Arabidopsis thaliana: one gene and its partners. The main gene of each other region encodes a partner of the protein of the gene in region 4 in a complex. Each region holds a gene or a part of one and is shown on either strand. Other genes may lie near its edges.

What was found.
Region 1: AT4G01310 (region 4) and PRPL28 share a complex: the UniProt entries of both Arabidopsis thaliana proteins name them as parts of the 50S ribosomal subunit.
Region 2: AT4G01310 (region 4) and RPL24 share a complex: the UniProt entries of both Arabidopsis thaliana proteins name them as parts of the 50S ribosomal subunit.
Region 3: AT4G01310 (region 4) and AT5G65220 share a complex: the UniProt entries of both Arabidopsis thaliana proteins name them as parts of the 50S ribosomal subunit.

Annotation. Positions count from the first base shown.
Region 1 is NC_003071.7:14,171,364-14,175,519, forward strand, and holds PRPL28 (Ribosomal L28 family), read left to right. Parts: upstream 1-2,215; 5' UTR 2,216-2,256; coding exon 2,257-2,455; intron 2,456-2,780; exon of another isoform or gene 2,781-2,784; coding exon 2,785-3,017; 3' UTR 3,018-3,226; downstream 3,227-4,156. Other genes in the region: AT2G33435 (RNA-binding (RRM/RBD/RNP motifs) family protein), read left to right, coding at 217-258, 372-461, 683-793, 913-1,002, 1,096-1,175, 1,269-1,863; RIC1 (ROP-interactive CRIB motif-containing protein 1), read right to left, coding at 3,227-3,663, 3,766-3,844, 3,934-4,034, 4,141-4,156.
Region 2 is NC_003076.8:22,180,539-22,185,344, forward strand, and holds RPL24 (Translation protein SH3-like family protein), read left to right. Parts: upstream 1-2,304; 5' UTR 2,305-2,507; coding exon 2,508-2,621; intron 2,622-3,121; coding exon 3,122-3,160; intron 3,161-3,333; coding exon 3,334-3,564; intron 3,565-3,652; coding exon 3,653-3,865; 3' UTR 3,866-4,072; downstream 4,073-4,806. Other genes in the region: CRLK1 (Protein kinase superfamily protein), read left to right, coding at 1-258, 484-637, 867-993, 1,175-1,260, 1,347-1,418, 1,500-1,703, 1,798-2,160; ANK (ankyrin), read right to left, coding at 4,243-4,806. UniProt on the Arabidopsis thaliana protein: One of two assembly initiator proteins, it binds directly to the 5'-end of the 23S rRNA, where it nucleates assembly of the 50S subunit. Required for optimal plastid performance in terms of photosynthesis and growth.
Region 3 is NC_003076.8:26,058,744-26,063,670, reverse strand, and holds AT5G65220 (Ribosomal L29 family protein), read right to left. Parts: upstream 2,507-4,927; 5' UTR 2,371-2,506; coding exon 2,032-2,370; intron 1,348-2,031; coding exon 1,165-1,347; 3' UTR 989-1,164; downstream 1-988. Other genes in the region: AT5G65225 (uncharacterized protein), read right to left, coding at 737-741; TGA1 (bZIP transcription factor family protein), read right to left, coding at 2,922-3,074, 3,149-3,376, 3,465-3,736, 3,819-3,882, 3,971-4,048, 4,133-4,192, 4,277-4,357, 4,470-4,640.
Region 4 is NC_003075.7:542,767-547,773, reverse strand, and holds AT4G01310 (Ribosomal L5P family protein), read left to right. Parts: upstream 1-2,207; 5' UTR 2,208-2,293; coding exon 2,294-2,539; intron 2,540-2,827; coding exon 2,828-3,028; intron 3,029-3,113; coding exon 3,114-3,256; intron 3,257-3,409; coding exon 3,410-3,608; 3' UTR 3,609-3,863; downstream 3,864-5,007. Other genes in the region: ATSTE24 (Peptidase family M48 family protein), read right to left, coding at 40-153, 299-397, 484-549, 646-741, 828-912, 996-1,143, 1,839-1,869; AT4G01290 (chorismate synthase), read left to right, coding at 4,492-4,562, 4,650-4,757, 4,871-5,007. UniProt on the Arabidopsis thaliana protein: Binds 5S rRNA, forms part of the central protuberance of the 50S subunit.

The DNA of each region.
Region 1 (4,156 bases), on a different chromosome or scaffold from region 4:
AAAAGCTTGTTCATAGTGGTTCAACCTGGAAAGCCAAATGTCAGACCACCTTATTATAATCTTAAAGTGAAAAACACGCAGAGAATAGAAGTGCAGTTCTCTCCGCAGCTACGGCATCTTTGTGGTTGATAATGTTGAAAGCTTCACTGTATTTGCTTGCTATACTAATTTCTTTTTCTGTCAAGCTTGATATTGAGCCTAGTGTACTTGTTGCAGATCTTCATTGGCGGATTTTCAAAAGCTATTTCATCTGAAATGGTATGCTGAACTGTAATTCTTTGAAAACATTTGACACGTTCAATCTTCTATTGTCCCCATTTCTATCGTTTCAACTTCTAGGATTGTCTGATTCCTCTTTAACGTTTTTCCAGCTTATGGAGATTGTCAGCGTCTTTGGACCTTTGAAAGCATACCGGTTCGTGAGCAACAATGATCTCAATCAGCGATGCGCTTTCCTAGAGGTTAGAATGTACTTTTATTTGTGGCCAAGATACCCCCATCTTAGTCTGCCATCTCGATGTAGTTCTTGTGATTGTTTCATATCTTTAATTTTTCATTTTCCGGGTAGCATGGGAAGGTGTTATTACCTTGTAACTTTTACAGAGTAACCATGAATGTGACTGTAGTTCCAAGTATATTCATATTAACCAGCCCTAACTCTTTTTAAATCTCTATATTTCAGTACACTGATGGATCTGTTACCCTCAAAGCTTGTGCTGGTCTAAATGGTATGAGGTTAGGTGGCAGTGTAATAACAGCCGTTTGTGCATTTCCTGATGCATCATCCGTAGCGGTAATTCAGTGACCCAACTTTGCTTTCGTTAGTTCATGTTGTGTTTGTATGGGTGACATTGAACAGAAATTCCTTTAGTTACTTGTGAGAGTGGTGTGTGTACGTAATATGTGTTGCAGGTGAATGAGAATCCACCATTCTATGGGATACCTAGCCATGCAAAACCACTTCTTGGCAAGCCTAAGAATATTCTAAAGCTAAAAAATGTGGTAAGCATAATTGGTGTATCCTTTTTCTTGTGAATCTTTCCCAAATAAACTATGTGAGGCTATATTAACATTCCATTCTTTCTTGTTTGACAGGTTGACCCAGAAGATCTCACGTCGTTTTCCGAGCAAGAAGTGAAAGAAATTTTGGAGGATGTACGGTTAGAATGTGCCAGGTTAAGCTCTGAGATCATCTTCCCATGAGTCCATTGAGCTTTTAAAAGCTAGTAAATTAAGAAAATAGGCCTCTGGGTCTTGTCATGATGCAGGTTTGGGGTTATTAAGTCGATAAACATCTTGGAACACAAGAGCAAAGATATCACTGTTTCTGAAACAAATCCATTGTTGAACTTAGAATCAACTGATTCTAAAGAAATGAATGTGTCAGTGATCGAGGAGAAAGATGAAGGATCCGAGAAAGCGGAAGATATTGCAGACAATGTAGATCTTGCAGAGGTTGTCATGCCAGACAGTTTGACAGGTGAAGACAAGTTATGTGAACCGTGCTCGGATACTGCTGCTGAAACAAGCACTCAAGAAAATGAAGATCTACACTCCACTGAACAAGAGCATTGTGAAAAGATTGTTGAAGAAAGTGCGCAGGCCGAGGCAGAGAATCCACAAGAAGTAGCATCAGTGCGTACCGTGAAGACAAGATGGGATGCTGGCGACAAGATAGAAGAAGAACAAGAAGAAGACCCCGAGGATGTATTTGAGACGGGTTGTATCTTCATTGAGTACAGAAGACCAGAAGCGACATGTGATGCAGCCCATTCTTTACACGGAAGGCTATATGATAACCGGATTGTGAAAGCAGAATATGTTTCTAAAGAGCTTTACCAAATCCGGTTCCCAAGTGGGTAAATAATCCCACAACAAGTGAGACTCTGTGATTCTTCTCATCTTTACCACATAACCGGTTCAAACCGAGTTCAGAGATACATAGCATCTACAATCAAAAACCCTTCAAAAATCTCTTTGTAATCGTTGGGATTGATCAGGTTGGATTATTCATCACCACCTGTGTCTCGTTACTTTTATGTATTAGAGAATCCAAGAAGGGAAAGATGAAACCATACTATTGTGTTGGTGGCTATATGGACCGGTTTGCTTACTGAAAAATTGTTGTGTTAAAAGAGAACGTAACCTTCTGAATGAGAAAGCGTCTTTCATTTTCTACAAAATAATAAATAAAATGAACCCAATCTCCTTCTTTATCCAAATCCTCCTTCGAAGCAGAAGTAACAGCAACCAAAAATGACGACAATGGCGACACAAGGCGCTTGGCTACGAATGACCTCATCAGCCAAGTCCATGACCAAGTCAACCGTGACTTCAAAGGAGCTTGGATTCCTCACCTCCCAGCTCAGCGGCTTAAGAATCTCATATACTCCCAGTGACGTCATCAACCGTATCTCCCTTCCTTCGTTCCCCGGGATTCAGCCAATCGTCGCACGTAATTCCCCTTTTCCCTTTCTCTTAGGGTTTAGTCGAATGCATTGGCGTACTAAATTTATCTTGCTTTCGTTTTATTCATGTCGAATTTCGAATCTCTGAGTTAGCAAGCTTGTGTTGAATTGTCTGGAACTATGTCTTTGCTTTTAGATATGAAAATGAGCAGTGTATTTAAAACCCGTAGCATAATTTCTCGTATTAAACTTTTCCTTTGAATTTGATGTTATGTTAAAAAAATTCTCCAAAATTGACCACATTTATATGATTCTGAGCATTGGGCAATTTGCTCCTTTTTTCTTGAAACTGTGTTTTTGTTTTCCAAAATGTCAGGTAGAATCTGCCCTTTTACTGGGAAGAAAGCAAACAGAGCAAACAAAGTTTCATTCTCTAACCACAAGACCAAGAAGTTGCAATTCGTCAACTTACAATACAAGAGAGTTTGGTGGGAAGCTGGCAAACGTTTTGTCAAACTTCGTTTATCAACTAAGGCTTTGAAGACCATTGAGAAGAACGGACTCGACGCTGTTGCCAAGAAAGCCGGCATTGATCTTCGCAAGAAATAGATATGATGATCGCAAAGTTTATTATATACATTTCTTGCTTCTCCTTTTGCAGTACTCGTACATTTCCTTTCTAGATTTTGGTAAGTATCAATGGAATCTCTGAGTTGTTGTATCAGACACTGTCAAGAAAAGACTTTAAAGAGAAACGAAAACAAACTCTCACTTGCAGGTGGCTCAAATAATACATTTCATGGTTTTGTTTATGTTTCTCAGATAATATCGTTACAGGTTGTATCAACTGAATTCTCGGGTTTTCCTTTTGAAGACTTCTTAATCGAACCTTCTCCTCCTGCTGATGATCCTTTTAGTTTCCTAGGACGCGATGTAGCCTTCCGTGGAGGAGCTGAACCATCAGGTATTTGATTAGGAACTTCTGTGTCTGGAGCCGGGATACCACCACGCCTTCTGCGAACTGATGGTTCTTGATCATTCGATGAGTCTGTTGACCCGTGTGCGCTTCGGTTATGTCTTGAATGCTTTGATGGTTCATCTGATGATGCAGCATTTCCGCTACTTTTTCTAGGCGGAGACCCGTTATGATTTGGAGAAGCTGCTCCTCCGGGTTTCCGCCTTGTTTTCTGTTTCGGTTTCTCGTTTGTGTTCGAAGGCAGTAACTCTTTTAGCCCGGCTCCACGTTGGTTCGTCCCTATTGAGATACACATCAATTCCTCGAACCAATCCAGATTTGTTCCTCAAAGCTTAACACTTTAAGGGAAAAGGAAAAACACACTTTGCAAAAATAACTAACCTTGCGGGTTGTATTTGTTGGAATTTCCCCTGGAAACGACTTGACCTTTCTCATGTTCTTGAGTTTTAAAGTCATTCATCTGCAGTTTTTGTCCCATAAAAAAACAATAATGAGCACAGATACGTGTGACATGTATGAAAATACGTATAAATGTACGTATGATCTTACCCAGCTTGGTGTGGTGTTGGTTGGACCGTCGGAGCCAATGTGGGCAACATGCTTTACATCGGTCGGAAATCCTATCTGCATCTCCTGCTCTTTCTCTTCATCTGCAATAGAATAATTACATCCACCATGTAATTTGACTTTTGACACAAGAAACACAAATGATTTTTCATTTTTTTCATGTTTATGGGGAAAATGAATGAGACTCACCAAAAATCTGAGTAAT
Region 2 (4,806 bases), on a different chromosome or scaffold from region 4:
TGTCTTAGCTATCTCAGCTTTGTTCTGCTTTAGGTATCATAGAAAAAAGTCTCAGATTGTGAATAGTGGATCACGAAGAAGTGCAACCATTCCCATCAGAGAGAATGGAGCTGATTCGTGTAATATAATGTCGGATTCGACCATTGGTCCGGATTCACCTGTGAAATCTTCTAAGAATGGGAGGTCTGTTTGGCTTGAAGGGTTTAGTAAGAGGAGTAATGTCATCTCTGCTTCTGGCATTTTGGAATATTCTTACAGGTTTGTCTCTTCCTCTGACAAATCTTAGTTTCCTGATTAGGTTATTATTTTATTGTCTTAACTATACTCAGGACTAGACTTCTCTTGTTATAGTAGTTACTTTGGTTATTATTTCAAAGTTTGAAAGTTCATTAAAAAGGGGAATGCTGTTGTGGATATGAGAAGGTCTTGCATTCTTGGGGTTATATTCCGTTTTTGACATATGGTCTTTGGTGATTGCTTCAGGGATTTGCAGAAAGCGACGTGTAATTTCACGACTTTGATAGGCCAAGGAGCATTTGGACCTGTCTACAAAGCTCAAATGTCTACTGGTGAGATCGTGGCTGTGAAAGTTCTAGCCACTGATTCTAAACAGGGCGAAAAAGAGTTTCAGACAGAGGTAAGATATATCTATGGATTCATTTCCGAAGAACAAGTTAGTGTGTAAAACATGTAGCATTAGGCAGACTTTTAAGCATTACAATAGGCTTTCTGAAATCTCTAATACTCAATTTATTAGTTGTGTCATCTATAAGACAGGCTACATGAATGAACAATCTATATATCTTACTCTCTTAGTATCTGCTTAGTTTCTTGAAAAACTCATCCACTCGCCTTAATCTTTTCAGGTTATGTTATTGGGAAGGTTGCATCACCGTAACCTAGTGAACTTGATTGGATACTGTGCAGAGAAAGGCCAACACATGCTTATATATGTTTACATGAGTAAAGGAAGCTTAGCTTCTCATTTATACAGTAAGTAACTACCTGGTTATACATACCATATTAATCTGCTTGTCACTAAATGAACTGTTAATGCAATGTTGAGCTATTCGGTATCTTTGTAGAACATTTATTGAGTTGATGGTTTAGACTTCACTAAATGATGAGCCTTGGTAAAGATTTGAGATGCACTAAAATGGTACTTTTGATACAGGCGAAAAACATGAACCGCTGAGCTGGGATTTGAGAGTATATATTGCTTTAGACGTGGCACGTGGTCTAGAGTATCTTCATGATGGGGTAAGCTGCTTGCTAAAACCATTCACCATTTTAATGCATCTCTTAAACAACAACTTCAAAACTCATGTTCTAATCAATTGTTCCAGGCTGTTCCTCCTGTAATCCACAGAGATATCAAATCTTCCAACATCTTGCTGGATCAATCTATGAGAGCTCGGGTAAACATATCTTCTTTCTCTTTGAAATCTCAGTCTATTGAACCACCTCAAGTTTCTAATGGTGATCTTCTTTAACTTCAGGTTGCTGACTTTGGCCTCTCCAGAGAAGAAATGGTAGACAAACATGCAGCTAACATCAGAGGAACATTTGGCTACCTCGATCCCGAATACATTTCAACAAGAACATTCACCAAGAAAAGCGATGTCTATGGCTTCGGAGTTTTGCTTTTCGAGCTTATAGCAGGAAGAAATCCTCAACAAGGTCTAATGGAATTGGTTGAGCTGGTAACATAAAACTAAAAAGTCCTCGAAATCTCCAATTGTTTTGTTTGGAGAATTGCATGTAAAGACTAAACGTTTTGTTGTTGTTGATGAACAGGCGGCTATGAATGCAGAGGAAAAAGTCGGATGGGAAGAGATAGTAGATTCAAGATTAGATGGGAGATATGATTTACAAGAAGTGAATGAAGTAGCAGCTTTTGCTTACAAATGCATCTCTCGTGCACCTAGAAAACGTCCTAACATGAGGGACATTGTTCAGGTTTTGACTCGTGTTATTAAAGTGAGACATTGCAGAAAGCGGCAGAAGAATTCTCCGTCGCCGTCTCCACGGCTTCCTCCTCCTCCTCCGATAGTGGAGGAGTCAGAAGGTGAGTTAACTGCAAACGGATCATTACGATCAGAAATTCATCGGAGGGATAATTCCTTGGACAGTAGTATAGCTGAAGACGTGATTTTGTAAACAAAATGAAAAAAAAGTCTCAATTTTTTTAATTATTATTAACTTTTAAAATGTGATTTTGTTTTTCAATTCTTTTGGGTTTTTAGACGCTAGATTGTCTATATTTGTGAATGAAAATTTGTTCTTTGTTTTTTCGTGTTAAAACGAGTTCAAAACTGGAGAACCATATTATATATTTGGGCTATGAAAAGAATTGAATTCAAGGCCCAATTAAAACCTAGCCTAGCCCATTAAGGTTTAGTGATAATACAGTGTCGTTTAATCGTTTATCCAATTTTTATCGTCATCTGTGGAACGGATAGGACGAAGGAAAAAGAAGAAGAGTGAAAGTTGCAGAGCGAGAAAAAATGGCAACCATGTCTGCTCTTCAGAGCTCTTTTACTTCTCTTTCTCTATCTCCCAGCTCTTCCTTCCTCGGCCAGCGTTTAATTTCCCCGATTTCCCTCTCCGTCACTTCTCCGGTAACTTTAATTTTCGATTTCTGGTCAATTCAGGTTTTTAATCATTGTTCAAGCTTTTAGGTTATGTAGTTCACTTGTTTGCGTAATAGATTAGGTTCATGTCTTCGCTTTTCATATCCAAACCCATTTCATCAAGTAACTCTCAAATTGAATCTGTGTTGTTGCTCATTTTAAGTTTGAATTTTGCTTACTGGGATATAAAATTTTGTGCATTGTCTATGTTTAAGTGTAACTACTGAATTGAGATGAAAGTTATGAGGACTTAAAACGTCATCCTTTAGACTGATTGACTAGTTATTGGTTTGGAATCAATGGACTAGTACTTGTAAATGCTATACTTTTTAAACGAACGAAAATGTGCGTGTGATGGCTCACATTGAGTAAAGTGGCTATCTTGTTCATTTGGTTGTGATTTTTTGCATTTTCTTATGAAATGCAAAATAGCTGCAATAGGATATGGTTTCTTTGTTACTCTGCTGATTATTTTATACTCATTGCAGGTCAAGCCCGCTGAGAACCCATGTCTTGTTCTTGCAAAGGTTAGTCCACAGATCCATTACATTAACATTCTGCATTATTCGTTAATATACTAGCTTTGAAACCACAATAATTCTTTAGATTTTGTACACATCAAAAGCAAAAAGGAAAACTGTTGATAGATTCTTTTGAAACAATGAGATTGGAAGATGATTTATGTGTTTTGCGTTTTCAGCTCAAGCGTTGGGAACGAAAAGAATGCAAACCAAACAGTCTTCCGATTCTCCACAAAATGCATGTCAAGTTTGGAGATACAGTCAAAGTAATATCTGGACGCGACAAGGGTAAAATCGGAGAGGTTACTAAGATTTTCACTCACAACAGTACCATTGTGATCAAAGATGTGAACCTCAAAACAAAACACATGAAGAGCCGAGAAGAGGGAGAGCCTGGTCAAATTGTCAAGGTCAGAAATCATAGTTTTGTAGCTTTCCTTTACTTTGCAAGATTGGAGTGATGATTGAAGATTGTGCGAAATGTATTATGCTTTCCAGATAGAAGCACCTATCCACAGCTCAAATGTGATGTTGTATTCAAAAGAAAAAGACGTAGTAAGCCGGGTGGGTCACAAGGTACTTGAAGATGGACAGAAGGTAAGATATCTGATCAAAACAGGGGAACTCATCGACACCATTGAGAAGTGGAAGCTACTTAAGGAGGCTAAGGATAAGGAAACCACCCAAGTTGCAGTTACCTCCGCATCTTAGCGTCTCATTTCTTTCTTCTTCAGTGCACTTTTGATATAATAGACCTATGCATTGGATGGATGTATTGAATCCCTTTTAAGGTAAATTATAATATTTCTGCTCCCCTCATGAACACCTCTTAGCATGATTTAACATATTAATCGAACTAAAGCCGGGTACTCTTGAGTCTTGTCTATATCAATATTGATCGTTATTGACAATGTTAGACCGGCCTATCAAATAAACTGAACCAAAAACTAAACATATTAATGACTCCGCCATAACCTTAAGCACCTACAGTAATTTATTCAAAAGATACAATCTTTAAAATGAGTGCACGTTACAAAGTTAAAGCAAACAAAGTTTCGAGGGAACAAAGTGCAAACGCTTCAAAATGGTTAAACCATGTTCTTGAAGTTGTCAGAAATCAGGTCGCTTTTGGGTTTGCGTACCTTCATCTGCGTACACCGTTTCCACTTTACATATAATACCAGTAGATACACGAGGAATAAGCCCCCTTCATATATGATGAGGAAGAAGAATGAGAGACCATGCATCATGTACATCAAAAGGAAATAAGAGAAGACGAGGGGCACCGTAATAATGAAATACCACCACTCATATGCTCTGCCAACTGGTAAGAGAATAAATGAAAATAGGATAGCTATGGAAAACGCTACCGTATTGCATCCCCATAGTTGGAATTCCGAAAACCTCATACCATTCTTTTTAACTTTATCTAGTTTTTCTTTGTCTAGCAGTTGGGCTGCAGTCTGAAAAGTGGCTGAGATTATCAAAGCTGCTATTACTAGAAGAGCGTTACGTGATCCGTCTGATATGCGACTCCTGTAACGTGCAATTCGCGTCTTGCAATGTTCCTTGAAAGTGACCGGTTCCCTCAGGAAGATATACCATTCCTGAATTCCGGATAGAGAGCCTCCGGTCTTACCACCGGACATTTG
Region 3 (4,927 bases), on a different chromosome or scaffold from region 4:
ACCATTAGTCATTTAAAATAGTTGTGGGCAGATAGATCTTTTGACTTAATTGTAATATAAGGTATTAGGTGAATCATCGTGGTCCGATCATTGCTATATCAACAGTTTTGTTATCCAACTACAATGGTAATGAGAAATCAACATGTGAAAATCTACTACTGCTAGTTAACAAGAGCATCGATCTCAAATCAAAAACATTAAATTAACAACCATCTCAGTATCTCACAGGTTTGTTGGCTTCCAGAAATGACTACATACCTGTCAAGAACTCATATATAGCAGCCTCGATAGCAAACTACTAGTAAACGAAACATGACTTCTTATTGAACTATGTTTATATCAGTCGTATTCAAACTTTTAAGAAAAGAAAAAACAAAGAGAAGAAACTACTAATTTGAGATTATTTTATCACTAGTCCCCACTTCTGAAAGAAGATTTCAACACCACTGAGTCAGAAAAATTATTGGCCAGATCTTCAATATACTAATAAGAAAAGGACAAAAATAGTAAAACAAAAACCAAACCCATTGTTGGTTGACTAACAAAAAAAACTAACAATGAAGTCTCAATGAGATTTACCAAGATGAGATTTTTCTACTACATTCGATTGCATAAACGGATTTTATTTTGAAAGTGAATCGCTGAAATCTAGGGTTTCATGCCCAAACAAGAAACATCATCGGAAACATAATCGTATTAGTTGAATCCTTAAAATCTGTAAGAAATATCACTTTACCTCATAGACTCGCCGGAAAAAAAATCCAAACCCAGCCGGAATCTACCACCGAATACCTCATCTACGCACACAAAGACAGAAACTTTAACGCACCATTCTATTTCTAAGCCCACCATTGATTCCTCAATAAATTCCTAATTTTCCCGCCAATGTTTTGGATTTTTCCTTTTATTTATTTATCTTTATTCTTATTTGATGTTTTTCGAACTTCGAATGATTACTAGTTTCTTTGTCAGATTGGATGATAATTCTGATGAAACATGAAGGAACGATTTCAATCTTTAAGGGATTCATGTAAACTACTTGATAAGGAAAGTGTTTACACCAAAAGAAAAACAAATACAAGATGGTTCAGCAACAAATAACAGAGATTAACAACATCTCGAGGAAACAACAAGGAAGAGACCATAAATCAATAGCGGGTTTTTTCAAGCAGATTTAGCAGCTTCAGCTGCTTCTTCTGCAGCTTCTTCTTCTTGAAGTTTCTTCAGAGACGGAGGTGGTCTTGGTACTATGCTTTTCTTCCATTGTCTGTCAAGTTTCCTCGACAACCTTTTCTTTATCCCTTCTTTGATCTCCCTCTCTCTTTTAACCGTCAACATCCGAGCAACCTAAATCACCCACAACCAAAAGATCACATCTTCAGTACCAGAAAAGAGACGGACGTAAGCCAAAAAAACCAAGAAATCTCTACTTGAATTTAGTGTCATCTCCAGCTAAGTTGGGTGGATTAGTCACTTAGAGCTCAAGATTCATGTCTGATTGAAATCCCAGCAATCAGTAAAACCAAAGCAAGTAAATTCTCATCTAAAGCTAGTTTGGTGCATTGGCACACTTAAAAGACTAAACAAACGATATCGCAAAGCTCAACATTCATGTCTAACTGAAACCGTAGTATCCTAAGAACATATTCGAAGCTTGTGTGCAAGAATCTATAAAAGGGGATGGATTGAACTCAATATTAAATCTCTAATTCCATTCCACCACCTACCAAAAACAGTATTAGATATCACAAAACAGTAACTTACAATGTTGCCATTGTTAGAGTTTAGAATCAACTATAATGTGTAGAACAAACAACACAAAACATTGCTTATAGAGTTCGCTAACATCTTCTACAACTTCATATTAAATAATCCTATTTTCCATGGTGATGATTTCAATGTTTCCATCAATAAACCACATATCCCAATTTTGTTAAACCCTTTCAAAGACTGCCAAAATCGACCAGATAACACAAAGTAGATTTCACAATTTGGAATAATTCTGCATTAAAGAGTAAGAAAAAAGCTTACTTGTTTCTTCATACGACGAAAGTCGCTAGATTTGAACTCATTCCTTGCCGATTTCTGGAGACGAAGCATAAAGAGCTCACCTTTAAGGTCAACAACCTCCTCTTGTAACTGCTCCGTCGTCTTCGATCTTATCTCTTTCAATTCCGCCTCTCTTTTCGACATCATCACCACCGACGGTTTAGGAGACGACGACGATATCGTCGCCGCCGCGGGGACGCGAGCAGAAACCTGGTGCTGGATTCTGACACCATGGAATGAAGACGAAGTTGAAGTCGCCGAAGCAGTTCCTCTACGAAAAATCGCCGCCGTCCCCGGCGTAGCGATTGAGAGACTAAGCATTGTAGCTATGGCGGAGGAAGAAGAAGAAGAGCAGAGTTCTCACTCTCGAGCGATTTTGAGGATAATGAAGAGAAGAAACTCTATGAGATAAGGCTTTTCTTATATCTTACTATTTGCCCCTTTATTTACCTCTAATTACGAAACTGGTCCAAACGTATCAAAAAAAATCAAATAGGTGTCACACAAAACGTAAAATTAAGTAAAGCCCCTATAGTTTTCAAATTGCAGATAGCTCGACATTATTACAGGGGATTTGGAACCAAGTTTATATAATTCTGAAATTGTTTACAAATCAAACAAACATTCGAAAAACTTGCCTCTTTCAAAAGCTAAAAAGTACAAATTTTTGCACCCCCACCTTTTTCTGATATTTACAACTTATCAATACATGATGTTTTTCAAATTTTCTAATTCCGCCGCAGAGTAAAAATAAATATCAGCAGCAACCCCTCTATTTATTCAGAGTAGTCCTCTGTTTTCAGATGCACTCATTCTTCATTTTTTGAGGTCTTTCCATTTTCTTCATTTGGTTGTTACAAAATAACTCAAACCTACGTTGGTTCACGATGTCGAGTTGCCCAACTTGAGCTCAAGGCTCTAAGCCGTTGAAAATACTCACCAAGAGCTAATAATCCTCGAGCCGCTTGTCGCGTTGTCAATATCCGATACATTTGTTGCAATGTTTCATGTCTCAAGTGATCAGCCTAAGAATGAACAAACAAAATCAAGAAACTGATACTATAGTATTTTCAAATGAGTTTGAATATATATATTTTACCTGATTTACGAAACTGACCAAAGCTTCTAATCTATCCATAGCAGAATTCACCTGAGGAATGTAACTTCCTTCACCGAGTTGTCCCGCTGCAACGCAGTCCGCAAGGGTGTGTTGCAGCTTCTCCATACCTTGAGTCAACGCGTCTTCTGCTTGCTGACACGATTGTTTTAGATTGCATACATCTAGAAGTTGTTGATCCGTCAAGACATCAAAATGTGGCAAAAGAACCTACAAAAAAAAACATTTGAAACATTGTAATCTTGCTTGTTTCCTTCTATTCATTAAACATTACGCTAGATTGTTATTTGTTTTATACCTTGAGAAGATCGGAGGGTCGAAATCCGCCAATCCATAAGAAGAATCGTTCTGCTGAAGTTCTCCACATCCCTGACATGACGAAGAAGACATCGGCTTTGGCAGCAGACGATTTCATCCGGAAAAGCTCAAAGTAATGTTTCATGGCGTTTTCGACTAGCGAACGAAGCTCGATATCGTTAATGTGTCCGTGTAAAACTGTTCTTAGTTCACATATCTGTCTGTTCTGTTCTTCAACCCAATGTCCATATTCCATTTCAAATGCAGCAATCCCTGCAAATCAAATAAGCTTCCACCAATCAAAATCTTGAATTCTATATTTTTTCCAAAAGACTCATTGTTCTTGATTCAAAACCTGGATTCATGGTTTCCGAAAAACCGAGAGAATTAGTATCTATTCCGTTTCCTACATAGAATCCCTGAAAACATTCATATTCAATCAGAAATTGCATTATATTTTGGAACTCGAAAGAAAGCGAATATATATTTAGATTTCATTTCATTAACCTGTTGTCTAGCACGATCGAGTTCTTGCTCTAATTGAATTAGCTTCAACCTGCTTGTTTCCAGTTGCTGAACATAAGCCTGCAAAAAAAAAAAACAATCAAATCTCTCAACTCATTAGGCAAACAGAAACAGTTTACCAAGGGGAAGAAAATGAAGTCATACCTTCTTGCGCAAGCGACTTTTCCTAGCAGCCTCGCGGTTTTGAGCAAGCCGTCTTTGTATCTGTAACGATATAACGATTTAGTCTATATGATGCGTAGAAATTTATGATTAAGAAACTGATAGAGAAGTATTTGAATAGCTAACCTTATCGGGATGTCTAGACGTTGAAGCTTCTTGATCGAACATGTGAGGAGTTCCTGCTGTTCCATGGGAAGTATCCTCTGACTATAAAAAAAAAAAAAAGATTGTCAAGAAATGAAAGCTAGTTTAAATTTCTGAAAACAGACCAAACAAATTTATCATCAGGAGGTTGAAGAGCAATGAAGTAAAAAAGTACCACGTTGTTGTCTAGTTTCTGATTATTCGGTATTATTATGTGGTTTGGTGTGTTCATAGTCCCATTGCTAATATTGCTTTTGAAACTCTCCCCCCACATACCGAATTGATGGACAGGTTCGTATATACCAACTCTTCTCGGTGGCACAAAATGTGTCGATGTCGAATTCATGTTTTCCTCAACTGAAAACAAAGAACAAATTGTTTAAACAATGTGACAAAGCATTCAAAATCAAGCAGATCAAGACATTCCAAAGAACAAAAGATGAGCATTAGTTTTCAACCAAAAGTTAGATCACACAAAGTCAAACAAGCATAACACGTAAAGCAAATAGTGAACTTTTGATGTTTCTTCGCCAAATTCTTCGAAGAAAACAGGACAAAATCATCTTTAAATTCCAGAGACTTTATACAAAGAAAGAAACCAGAGGGGACACGGAGATTCCCTAAGACCTTGGA
Region 4 (5,007 bases):
AGCAGTGAATTGTAAAATGGCCATGACAGAAATACACACAGGAGTGAACTTGTTGAAGAGCGGTGCTATCAAGACCGGGTATATAGTCATCATCACTAGAGACAGGATAAACATGAATGCCCACAGATAGATGGCAAGATAAGGACCTCCTTTCTGGAAAAAGATAGAAACTTCATGCTCAGAGAAGCAAATTTTAAATTTTTAACACGAAAACTAAAAACTTTGAAGCTCACACTCAATGGAGAATAGTCATCCATGTGAAAAACTCAGAAATAAGATGAATCCAGAATCATCAAACCTGGACTATGAAAATTATCGCAGCAACAATGGGTGGGCCTAGTATGACAGAGAGGAATGTTCCTTTGATCATGTCCCTAATGAACATCCATATTGTTTGCTGTCAACAGAATTTAGAAGCAAATTTAATCCACATCTCTGATAAAAAAACGTAAGTCACAAGGTAGTGTTGGAAATACGACATACTTTGTTGAACCCATGCCGAGACTCGATCACGAAAGTTGAGTACAAAGAAAATGGCAAATCAGTGATCTGCATCAGAATATAAAAGAAATATTATTATCTTAAGAAAATAGATATTTTGATGCTAAACGTATAGGACTATATGAAGGGGTTTATTTGGAACACCTGTGACCATGTCATAACACCAGCCAAGAATGAAAGAGTATGCAGTATTTCATTCTCTGGATCAAGGCCCAACCTCGGTAAAACAGCTCCAGACATCTAAGGTAAAAATGAAAACTTTACAATTGTAATGTAACAACTCTATATTCAAAATGAGATACTGTATACCGAAACCAGATATGTACCTTCCAAAACCAAGGCAAGATCCCAAAGAACAAAATTGCAGAGTCCATAAGTATAGTTACAAACTCATGAACAAAGTGAAAATAGCTGCATATATTAAAGTTCTCAGTGATGATATCCCCTGGCAATTATAAAAAACTAAAATGATATAAATATGATCAAGACGAAACCTTTTGTCAAGACTGTATGCTCGTGATTTCTCAAACTTCTCTTGGCTAATTACACCAACCAAGGTTTTCGGGAGAGTTGGAAGCTTGAGAGCAGTGAGTTGCCTCAGATCCAAATACGTCTCAAAAATGTACATCACTATCATAAAACCTGTAAGAAAAAGAATAAAACAGAAGATGAAATACGAATCTACTCTAAATGCCACAACAACAGATACTCCATCACTGAAAATTCAATAACATCATCTACTTTTTTGATCAACCAGATATAAAAAGATCTCTTGTGCTGACTACTGATGGAAACATTGGAGCACTGAAAGAGTTTTGATGCAACATTCACATACGGTTCCACAACACAAAACCCATTTCAAAAAACTCCAGAAAACTCTAGTTGCAGTCACGAACATAATAATACCCTGACAAGAAAACCCAAAACCTCAAGCTGTATGACTTGAACAAAGAAAAATTTCAAGATTCTCAATTTCCAATCGGGAATGAGGAAAAAAAAGACTCCGACTTTTCTTCCCAAATCCTAGATTTTGGTTAACAGAGAAGCTCCGTACATTCTAAAACCGAGGAAGAGATGATGAAATCACATAAGCTCAAATCAAATCAAACGCACGAGTAAGACAAGAAACTAGTAGGAGTAATAAAACCTCAGATCAAGGTACGCACTATTAGAAAAGAACAAAATTTAGAAACGAGAAGCAGAGACGATGGTATATGAAACAAACGAGTCATGGAATCTCAACACACACAACACAGAAAGCAAAACCCAAACAAAAACGAAATACGATGAGTGAAACAGGATAGTAAAATGTCTCAGAAAAAGGTTTTGAAGCTTACCCACGACGGTTTCCATGAAAGGAATCGCCATGGCTGAGAAAAGAGTGACCTGAACCGCGATGAAAGCAGAAGCAAATCGAAGAAAGCAGAAGCAAATCGAAGAAAGCAGAGGAACGACAAAAGAGAGGTTTTTCGTTTTTGACTCTTCTCAGGTCGGTGTGGATATGTAAAACAACAAAAACACGGGTACGGGTTATACCTTAGAAGCCCAAATAGTAAACGGGCTGAGATTTAGGCCCATATGAAACAACCCCTATATTTTATCTAAAATCTCTAAGTATAATAGTATATTATCAAATATTGGGGCCTTAGTTGAAATATTATGTTTTAAAGGGGCTAAACGGAAAACTCCTTATCCTCAAACTGTCAACAAATTACGAAGGTGCCATTGGGTTTAATCAACAACGAACGCCGAGAGCTCTCACTTCACACTTTATCCACTTGGAGCTTCGACAATGGCGTCTCCTTCGCTTCTGCAGTCTTCCGCTTCTTCGTTTCACGGACGTTTCTCACCATTAGCGGCTCCATCCTCCGCACGAATGCTCTCTCCGCCGCTCAGAAACGTGGTGAAAGTCTCGGCGTCTGGAACTGTACTGGTCGAGAAATCTGAAGCCGAGAAAACTCAACGCCTCAAAACCGCTTACCTCGAGAGGATTATCCCTGCGCTCAAAGAAGAGTTCAAGTACGTTAATATTCACCAGGTAACCCCAAATCCTTCCCCTCTGAGCTCAAACCTAGTTTTTGTTCTGTTGCGATTGATTGAAGTCTAATTCTCAGTGAATTCGAATTTTTTGAGCGAATGTTAAACCTAATTTGCTTTTAATGATAAGTTTGAATTGATTTCTTCTAGAAAATGTAGTGAAGAAGCCTAGATTTAAGATTGTTGTGTTGATAAAATCGTGCTGTTGGGATGTGCCATTTACAAATGTGAATGTGAATTTGTCAATCTCATCATTGTTGTATATCTGCTTGGACATCTTCTCTACCAGGTTCCAAAGGTACAGAAGATTGTAGTGAATTGTGGTATTGGAGATGCGGCGCAGAACGACAAGGGTTTGGAGGCTGCGATGAAGGATATCGCGCTTATCACAGGGCAGAAACCTATTAAGACACGAGCTAGAGCTTCCATTGCTACTTTCAAGATCAGGGAAGATCAACCTCTTGGGATTGCTGTCACTCTCAGAGGAGATGTGAGCTATATTTCTCTTGACTAATCAAACTTTCCTTTTGAGTTATTTATGTATTAACATTTTGTGATTTTGACTGTTGTGACAGGTAATGTACTCCTTCTTGGATCGTCTTATCAACTTAGCCCTTCCGAGAACTCGAGATTTCCAAGGTGTGAGTCCCAGTAGCTTTGATGGGAACGGAAACTACAGTATTGGTGTGAAAGACCAAGGTGTATTCCCTGAAATCAGGTTAGTTCTATTGTATCTACCCTCAAAATCAAAACTACTAACTTGTTATCCGCTGGTTCAACAAGATCAAGCATGGTTTCTCTTTAGTCCCACTCTTTGTTTACAACCGAGCAACTAAACTCTATGTTGGTTGGTTGGTTTATTACACTCTAGGTTTGATGCCGTTGGAAAAACGAGAGGAATGGATGTATGCATCAGCACAACGGCTAAAAGCGATCAAGAAGGACAGAAACTATTGGCTCTAATGGGAATGCCTTTCAGGGAAGGAGGTGGTGGCAGCACAGGCGCGATAGTGCGGAAGAAGAAACTAAAGTCTCATCACTTTGATGCTAAAGGAAAAGGAAAGAGATGATGAACATAGCTGCCTATTGTATGTATCGTCTTCTGTAACCAACCATTTCATGTTTCAGAAAAACCATCTCCTTTTGTAATGCTTTATGAGTCAATTTGAAAATAATATCAGGGATCTTGTTGTTATGGTAAAAATTTATCAAGGTTTTTCTGTAATTTATTGAAAGTTTTGTGGATTATACAAAATGTAGCGCGTGAGTGAACGTGAAAAGCTAGCGCGTGGATTTGTCAATTTTACCTTCCCCTTTGAGAGAAATCGCTCTTCTTTGTAAGACTTGGTTTCGATCTTCTCTTTTTCATCATCAATCGATCAAAACAAACAGCAACAGCAAAATTATCTTTCTGCAGATCGAAACCCTAATTGGTTTCTCCGTTCTCCTTTTGTTCTTCTAGAATCGGCGACTCTTACTTTTTTTTCTTTCTAATTATCCTTTTCTGATGGATTCTGGAATCCATGTAATTCCCCATTAGCGCTAAAAACCCTAGCTGTCGAAGACCTTAGATTACTGCAGAAATGTTATAATCTGTTTTCATCTTTTCCCGATTTGAGGTTTTTATTTATTTTGGTTGGGTGAGAGAATCCGATACGAGAGATTAAAGCCTTGTGAGTTTAGGATGAGCTAGTTTTCTTTGGCTTTGAGCTGTAATTTCTCTTCTCTGAAATCTTTCACTGTACATATAGCTAGATCCTGATGAAGTTGCGTGGTGGTGAATCGTGGTTTAAGTTTTGCTAGTTGAGATATTATTGGTGGTTACTGTAATATCGAAGAATCATATTTCACGGTATTTACTATAGACAACTACTGTAGAGTTACTTGATTAAGGCGTTAAGAAGAGATACTGGTGTTTTTTGGCCTCAATCAGCTAAGATTTTTGTGCATTGTATGATGAGTATAGCAAATGAACAACAATTTGCCATGGATCAACTTGTCGAAACCAATGATGATTCGGAAAAGTATGTTTTTTCTGTTTTTTGTAAAATCCATGTCTCTGTTTTGCTGCTTATTGTACATTTCTCAGCTGCAGTTGCAATTGTTTTCAGGAAACCAAGAATTACATACACGAGGAAGTTTCTTATATCCTTGAGCGAGAAAGACGTTTGCAAGAAGCTGCCAAATCTGCCTGGTGAATTTGATGAAGCACTGTTGCTGTGAGACTCTATCCGATAGTTTTTTTTTTAGTTTGGATTTCTAGAAACTGTGTAAATGTGTTTGATCATGTTGGAGTGACATGTCTTGATTTGTACACTCTTTATTTGAGTAGTGACTTCGAAGATCCTTCACCCGAGCGAGCAAGAATTTCAGGCGATTTTTCGTCGCATGGTTTCAGGCGGAATGACTATAGTTCATCGCCTCCCACCAGGGGGGAATTAGGTACTAACTCTCGAGGCACCCATGGAA